Linked DNA regions of Sus scrofa. The protein of the gene in region 2 interacts with the protein of the main gene of each other region in a pairwise test. Links are inferred from orthologs where the notes say so. Each region holds a gene or a part of one and is shown on either strand. Other genes may lie near its edges.

The links. The genes of interacting proteins can lie anywhere in the genome.
Region 1: the proteins of AQP1 (region 2) and RGS17 interact in binary tests that used the Homo sapiens proteins (3 or more experiments, as listed by UniProt). The two-hybrid records come from large-scale screens. The link is inferred for Sus scrofa from reciprocal best matches to the Homo sapiens genes AQP1 and RGS17.

What each region holds. Positions count from the first base shown.
Region 1 is NC_010443.5:13,339,785-13,343,800, reverse strand, and holds the start of RGS17 (regulator of G-protein signaling 17), read right to left. Parts: upstream 2,801-4,016; 5' UTR 2,743-2,800; coding exon 2,555-2,742; intron 1-2,554. UniProt on the Homo sapiens protein: Regulates G protein-coupled receptor signaling cascades, including signaling via muscarinic acetylcholine receptor CHRM2 and dopamine receptor DRD2.
Region 2 is NC_010460.4:42,073,942-42,077,949, forward strand, and holds the start of AQP1 (aquaporin-1), read right to left. Parts: upstream 2,801-4,008; 5' UTR 2,611-2,800; coding exon 2,221-2,610; intron 1-2,220. UniProt on the Homo sapiens protein: Forms a water channel that facilitates the transport of water across cell membranes, playing a crucial role in water homeostasis in various tissues.

The DNA of each region.
Region 1 (4,016 bases), on a different chromosome or scaffold from region 2:
GTTCGTTGAAAAAAATTCTGATTTAACACCTACCTTTTGCCAGATAGTTGTGCTAGGTATTAGCAAAACAGCAGGATTAATGGCATAAATGAATTTCTTTAGAAATTAAGGCAGTCTCTGAAGGATAAGTGGAGATGGGAAGAGATAAGGAGGGTCAGAGTATCTATTGATCAAACACTGAAAGTCCAGGCTACCTACCTCTAAGGACCTTTTGTTTCTTTTTTTATATTTATCTATTTTGGAGGCCACGCCCATGGCTTGTGGAAGTTCCCGGGGCCAGGGATCAAACCCGAGCCGCGGCATCGACTCAGGCCACTGCAGTGACAACGCAGGATCCTTAACCTGCTGAGCCACACTGGAACTCCAGAACTGTTTTATTTCTTTAAGCTTACCATAAAAACTTAAAATATTTTTGAGGATCCAGGATACTCCCTGAATATGTCACAATTCTAAGTCTCTATAATGACTCCGTGCTTATACTCGACCTGTAGTAATCAGATGAAATAAAATGGTTTTTAACCTCACATAGTTATTCTCAACCACTGGGTATACAGTGGTCCTTGCATTTGCCTTTCTGGGTGGTGCAATATTTTCATTATTAACTAAGCAGAGCTGGACTATCAAGAAAAGGATTCTCAGCAGAAACGCAGTTGGATGGGTTCCATTCCTCTTGGCTCCATTTCTCCTTGTCCATTCCCACCTTTCACTTTTCCAGAAAAACCCATGCCTTTCAGCAAATAGATTTCTAAGGAAGGCCACTATCTCTACAACTGTAAATTAGCAGGTAAATGCTTTCTTACTTTTTAGTCTATGAGCCAACCGAAATTTTTATCGATTTAGTTTTTAGATTTGGCTGTTATAAGGTCAAACGGATGAGGATACACACATTTGTCCCTTTTTTCAAAGCCCCTTGCCCTCATGGTAAGACAGGTTCAGGCATGTCTTCATCATCACCATCTTCATCACCACCATCATCAAAAAGTATAACAAGGCCAGAGGAATGATAATGACTTAGACGCTAACATTATGAGTTCCAATAAGTCAGGACCCTGTAGGAAAATTTCCTAAAAGCTGAGAGAGAATCTATTTGTGAAGAAGAAGCTGTATGACTTAAAATTGAACAGGAATAGCGGATAACTCTCCTAGTTAATTCTTTTCCACAGAGACTAAACACCAAGGAGCAGTTGAGGAACCAGAGCAAAAAGGGCAGCATTTGGAAGAGCAGACACCTCTGTAAAGTAGGAGGTTCTCTTTATCTTTCAGACCACAAATTCAGGAGGAAGGATGAGTTGTCCATGGCTCTGAGATCAGGTATCATTGCCATGGAGATTTATCTTATTTAACCAACGATACCATCTAATCCTTTTGTAAAAACAAATACTTGTTTTCTCATCTCTAAAAAGTGTATGTTTTCTCTAAATACAGTTTTTAAGAATGTAAAAACAGTGAATAAATCTACTCTCCTGTGAGTGTGCTAATTACTGTTTTAGTTCATGCTAACAGAAGAAACAGCTTGATAACAGTCACTTAAGTGGAAGAGGTCAAACTGCTCATTCATTTGATGAATGAGTATAAATCACCTTTCCATTAGATATTAGTGCAAAACGTATATTTCATAGAGACCTGCTATTGTTACCACCAAGGACTTTAGAAACAAATACAATTTACCCAAAGTGTTTCACAGTTTTGAAAAAAGTATTTAATACACATAATGCCAAGCAGCTATGAAACCAGGAGAAAAACATTATTTTCCATTACAAGAATACAAATTGCTTCTCGTTTCTCCAATTAAATGATTTTCAGAGGGTTCATCACCCGGAAAACCAGAATGTATGAACGCCGGAAATGCAGATGACATTCAGTCTCAGAAATGCTTGCGGGAATCCAACTACAAGATTTCTCTCTATTACCTGCGATAGCCATCACATGGAGGAAATAGGCCGGCTGTAAAACAATTTTAAAAAAGAAGAAGAAACAACTGCGGGAAGATTGCAAAGTTCTCTAGACAAACCTTCGAGTGACTGTTTTAAAGAAGGAAACCTTTATCAAGGGTCAGAGAGGTTAGGAAATCCACTATGCCAGGCGCCGGGGTCAGTCTCGCCAGAGCGACTGAGATTGTCCCAGGTGAGTGGGTGTCCCGGGTGGAGGCGGAGGGAGTAGGGCGGGTCCCCACACCGCGGGCATCTTTTTGGACAGGCGACCCTTGCTCTGCCTTCTGAAGCCCAGCGATTCCCGAGGCCGGCACTGGGCTGCCCGGGACACCCTGCCAGCAGCCTCCCGCCTGCGAGGACCACCTCCCCATCCTTGGCTTCTCTAAGGATGAAGAGGCCAGCCCTATCTCTCCGCCATCCTCAAGTCCTCCGACATTTTTCACAGAGACAGGGAGGTAGGGAGTAAAGGAAACGGCCGAGTGTCTGCACCCAGCCTCTGCCGCAGCACATGAAGAGGGAGAGGAGGAGGAAGGCTGGCGAGTAAGCAGCTATGAAACCGTAATTCTAGCGATTATACAAAGAATCATCATCACCTACAGAAAGAGAGTCTCGGATACACCCACCTTGGGCAGTGGCTGGGGGATTGGTGGGCGTTCCACCTCCTCGCCCCCTCGAAGGCTGTGAAATCTACCCGAAGCCGAGCACACGAGAACTCCCTCTCCATCGACCAAAGGAGCGGAAAGAACAAAAGAGGCCCCCACCCCCTAAATACACACACCTCAGATGTATTACCGATGCTCAAGGTAGGCATTTCTGCACCCCCTTTGGCTCACACCTCCCTCACCTGCATTTCCCCAAAGGTAAAGGAAAAAAAAAAAAAAAAAAAAACACCCCGAGGTGATCGGTCGACTGGACACTGTTAATTTCACATTCGGTTTTCTAACAAACAGCCACCCAAATCGGCAGGACCTCGCGCCCCGCGGGGTCTCCCGCCGCCCTTGGCCCTCCCTGTCGAATCGCCGAGGCGTCCAGCTCTCCGCTGAGGACCCGACTGTGGGCAGGATCCTTCCCTGGGCGGGCAGGACACTTGCCCAGCGGGTCCGCAGCAGCCGGAGGGCGACAAGCGGACCGCGCCGAGGCTACAACGCGGGATTCAACTTCCCAAACCTGCAGCTCGGCCCCCGCTTCCTCCCGCGGTGCTGCGGGCTGAGCGGAGACCCCCAAGCCGGCCGCCACCCTCTTCAGAGCACAGGCAGTTGTACTCTCCGCCCCCTCTTTCCTTCACCTCCGCACTCCCCCACCTCTAAAAAAATTCAACCACCGGTGCAAAGCAGACATTTTGATGTCATTTACTTAGCGCGGCTCGGTTTCAGAGGCAACATCTTACCCAGTCGCCTGGAGGTGTGGGCAGCGCACCAATGCGTCCGGGGGCGCGAGGCTGGGCTGCTCGGTCCTCTAGCAGAGCCGGTTTGCTGCCATCCGCCCAACTTCAGCACCCAGCGGGCGAGGAGAGAGCGACAGAAGCGAGGACGGAGGGGAGGGGGAGGGGGGAAGGATGGAAAGGTGGGCGGGGAGGGAGCAGGAGCCGCTCGGTAGCGCGCATGCGCCCCGAGGGCGGGCGCAGCCCCTCGCCCCGCTCGGCCGGAGGTGCCGCTTCTGCCTCGGGCGCGCGACCGAGTGAGTCACGGCCCCGCCCCTCCCCGGCCGCCCGCCCCCCGCGCGCCCGCCTCGGCTCGGCGCCCACGGCGCGCAGGGGCTCGGCGGGGGCTCGCGCTCGGGCGCCGGGGGTCGCGGCTTCGCGGGCGCTTTGGAGACCTGGGAGCCTCCCCGTATGAGAGGCTCTCGTGCCCAGTCTCCTGCAACTTCACGGTCACCCCCAGCCCGCGTTATTTTATCCTGCGCTTTAGGAGAACGATTGAAACCAGAAATCTGTCTTTAAGGAATAAAACAGCTGCAGCAGCGGGGTCCTAGAGGATGCAGTCTCGGCGCGGGTGGGGGGGCGGGTTCAAAGAGGTGTGAAGTTAAGCGAGTGTGGCTTAGCAAAGGACTCGATTTTTATCAAAGGTTCTTTACTTTATTGAAGTC
Region 2 (4,008 bases):
CGGGAGCCCTTGGCGGGGATGCTTTCTCTGTTTGTGCCCTGCCAGACCCCAAACTTCCACGGTGTGGACAGGGCTGCCCTGGGTCCCGCCACAGTGCTCAGTGCCCTTATGCTTAGCACGGCCCCTCTTGGGCTCCCCTTAGCCAGACCGCCCTGGGAAGAGTGATAAACTCAAGACCTAGAGTGAGCATGCTGGTACTACACATGTGGCCAGGAGATATCCAGAGACCCAGGTCCCCTCTTGGAGCCTCAGGGCTCTCAGCCTCGGGGAAACCCAACAAGCTGGTAGGATCCAGGACTTGAGTCTAGGCTGGGCCCCACACGATGCTGTCCCTTTTTCTCCCCCATCTGCCACCCGCCTGGCTCAGGTATTGGGGCAACTCTGGAAAATGAAGGCCAGAGAGGGGACGGGACACTGGAGGAGGGCGTGGCCAGATCAAGATGACACAGAGGAGCCCGCCCTCCCACGTCTGCCTGGGATGGCCAGCTTAGAGACACCTGCCTGCCTGGTCCTTGAGACAGAGGGTCAAGAGGGGGCCGAGAGGCCTGGGAGACTCAGCTTCCCACCAGGAGGACCCTATCCCCACGCCCATCCTGCCCAGCTAAGCCCCAAGGTGATCCCAACCCTACCCGGCGGGCCCTCCCCGATGTTGCCCGGCTCTGCCCCCGCTGGAGAGATAGACCTGGAGGGACGCAGCCTGCTGGAGCTCTGTCCCTCACAGCCACCATGCCCACCTCTTTCTCGACTAAAGTCTAAACTCCAGTCTACAGGGCTAATCTTCAACCCCGGGTTGGGTGAGGTGTCACTGTGGCACAAGAAGTGCTAATCCCTCCATGGCAGGCTCATGCCAGCTGCCCTCCGCACCGGAGCTGGCCAAGCCTCCCCGAGCCGCAGCACCAGGAGCTGAACTTTGACTGGGAAGCAAGAGCTGCTTCTCTGATCACCCCCTGCGGTCTCTGCAGGGCTCTTGGCCCCTCTCTTACTGTCCCCACACCCGCCTGCCCTGCCCAGGCCCTGCCAGCCGACACCCCACCTGATCCCTTCTCTCTGCTCCCTGGCCTCGCTCCCTCCCTGTGGCAACGCCCCCTCGGCTGCGGTGTTCTAAGACCTCCTCCAAGCCCTACCCAGACTCTCAGGCCAAATCTCCCCCTGCTGTGGCCCAAGCCAGGTCTGAGTTTGCACTTGGCTGAAGGTCTGGAAAAGCCCAGGTCTGCGACAGCAGGCAACTGCCGCCAACAGCCAATTAGCTGTGCTAAGCGGCCCAGGAGGAATTCTTTTCTGCAGCTGCCGCTGGGTCACCCACATCTGCTTATCCTGAGTGCCCCCAGGCCGGGCCCCATTTAGTCTGAGAGCGGTGGGCACACGCAGGCACATACTCGCCCCCACACATGCCTGCCCAGCAGTATAACGGGCTCACAGACACAGACACGCTTCCAAAAAAGACTCACACAGGAGTGCCCAGGTTCCATGGGCTCGGAGACCCATGAGGGTGGCCATCCATGCGCGTACACGGCTCACACCCACCCACACACCACACCTCTCAGTGCCCGGCCACCGCGAATGGACCCAGAGAGGGGGTGAGAGGGCCCTGCCCCGCCCCTGCCCCTTGCTGTAATCCAAGAAAACCGCCTGCACACTGTCCAGACAGGGTTTTCACCCCCATCTTTGTCCCCCACCTGGGGCCAGAAGAGCAAGAGGAGCTTTTTCCTTCAAGGCAGTTGGTTTGGGGACCTGTGCGAATGTGGGGCTGCTGGAGCAGCCCCAGGGGAGTCCTGCTCACACTGTCACGGACCCACACACATGCCCGGCCTGTGGTGCAGGGAGGCGGGGGACAGCAGACAGAGTTTCCCTGGGGTCCAGGCCGCATGGGGAGGCAGCTGCTGCACAGGGAGGGCTTGGGGTGGAAGGGAGCAAGAAACCAGGGTGAGGAGCTGCTGGCCCAACCACTAGCTGCCTCCAGAGCTTATTTCCCATAATAGAGGCCCGCAGGGGACACTGGCAAGACCATTACGCTCTGGGTCTCCGTGTCCCACAGTGCCTGGAAGAAAAAGGGCTCTGGACCCAGGCACAGCTGAGTTCCAGGTCAACTGAGCATGACCTCCAGCAACCTCTCGTCCTCTCTGTTCCTCAGTATCCCCATCTGCACAGTGGGCAGAGGATGAAACCGGCGGCATCTCAGCACCATTCTAGAGCCCCGGCGCCTGGGACCACCCCACTCACCGAGTTCAGGCCAAGGGAGTTGCCGGGCAGGGAGGAGGTGATGCCTGAGAGGATGGCAGTGGCGACGATGGCCCCCACACACTGGGCAATGATGTACATGACAGCCCGGAGGACACTGATCTGGCAGCTGAGCAGGAGCCCCAGCGTGACGGCCGGGTTGAGGTGGGCGCCGCTGATGTGGCCCACGCTCTGGGCCAGCGTGGCAATGCTCAGCCCAAAGGCCAGCGACACCTTCACGTTATCCTGGGCCGCACCTGAAGTCTGGTTGTTCCTCACGGGGTACTGGAAGCCCAGGGCAGAACCGATGCTGATGAAGATGAAGAGGGTCATGGCCAGGAACTCGGCCACCACCGCCCTCCAGAAGATCTTCTTCTTGAACTCGCTGGCCATGTTGGCAGGGGGCTTGGCTTGAGACGGCTGCCTGGTGCTCGCCTCTCTCTGAGAGCTGAGCCACAGCCGGGGCTGGGCCTATTTATAGGGCCCCCCCGGGGGGGGGGAGCACAAAGGGAGGAAGGCCTCTCCTTGCTCCTGGCCCGCCCCACACTGCACGGGCCTCCTCTCAGCGATGGATGCAGACACAGCTCTGCTGTCGGCCTGCCAACTTTTTTTCCCTTCCTCCTCTCTCCCCTCCCTCCCTCTCTCCCTCCGCCCTCAGCCCTGCCCAGCTCGAGGAGGCAGGCAGGAGGCAGCGTTTCTCTAATAGGCTTTGAGAAATTCCTCCAAGTTGGCCCCACTCAGGGGGCCAGAGAAATCCAGGTGTCCCTGCCCTGTGTGCAAAGCGCAGGGGGTGCCCGAGGGCAAAGCCAGGCGCTCCGGATGGGGCGGGTGAGCGGCTAGGTTCAGCAGGTGGACGTTGCCCTCCTAGAGGCGGGCACCATGACCCTGCTGGTCTGCCATCCCCATCCAACCCCAGAGAGGCCTGAGTCTGGAGTCCACAGGTCCAGGGGTCCCCAGCGGCAGTCTGCGCCTCCCATACCTGGCCACTAAATGTCACCATAGGAATGTCCCAGAACCCTCAGACCACCGGCCAGGCCTCAGTTGATGGGGACACAGAGGCATCAGGGGGTACAGAGAGCTCATCTACAGACCACCCCCCACTCTGTGGTCCAGGGCAGGCCTGAGACAGGCTAGGATGCTCCCTACTCTGATTTGAGCGAATGATCTTGCGGCAGCTGGGGAAGATGAGGGCAGGCAAGGACTTTCCTCTCGAAGCCTATGAAGCTGGTGGACCACTGGGGAGACAGGAGGAAGGGCAACCTGACCGGAAAGCCCCGGAGGGAAAGGGGAGGAGAGAAAGGGGGAAGAGAGGTGGGAGCACGAAAGGGAGAGGAAGAGACACCGGGGCCCAGAGGGGAAGAGGCAAAGGAGGCAACGAGAGGCAGAGAGACAGAGGGAGGAGGAAGGACAGTGGGATGTGGAATCAGCCGAAGCAGAAGTGAAAGGAACAGATCCCCAAACAGTGATAGGGAGACACTGGGGACTGAGAAGGAGAGACAGAGACAGCACAAAGCGCGAAAGACCACTGGAAAGAGGGGACACAGGACTGGACCCAGAGGTGAGAATCCAGAAGAGCAAGAGGAGAGAGCAGAGGGGAAAGGGGAGGGACCGGACACTGCCTGGGGCAGGGGGAGGGAAGAGGCAGCTCTAAAGACCATGCCCGCCCCCCACCCCGCCCCATAGTCCAGCCTTGCGCCAAAGCCAGAGGCCCAGCGGCAGCCAGTGAACTGAGCAGGAACCTGGACTCCTGGGCCGGAGGCTGGTCAGGAACCCCAGGCCCAGGCCACCAGG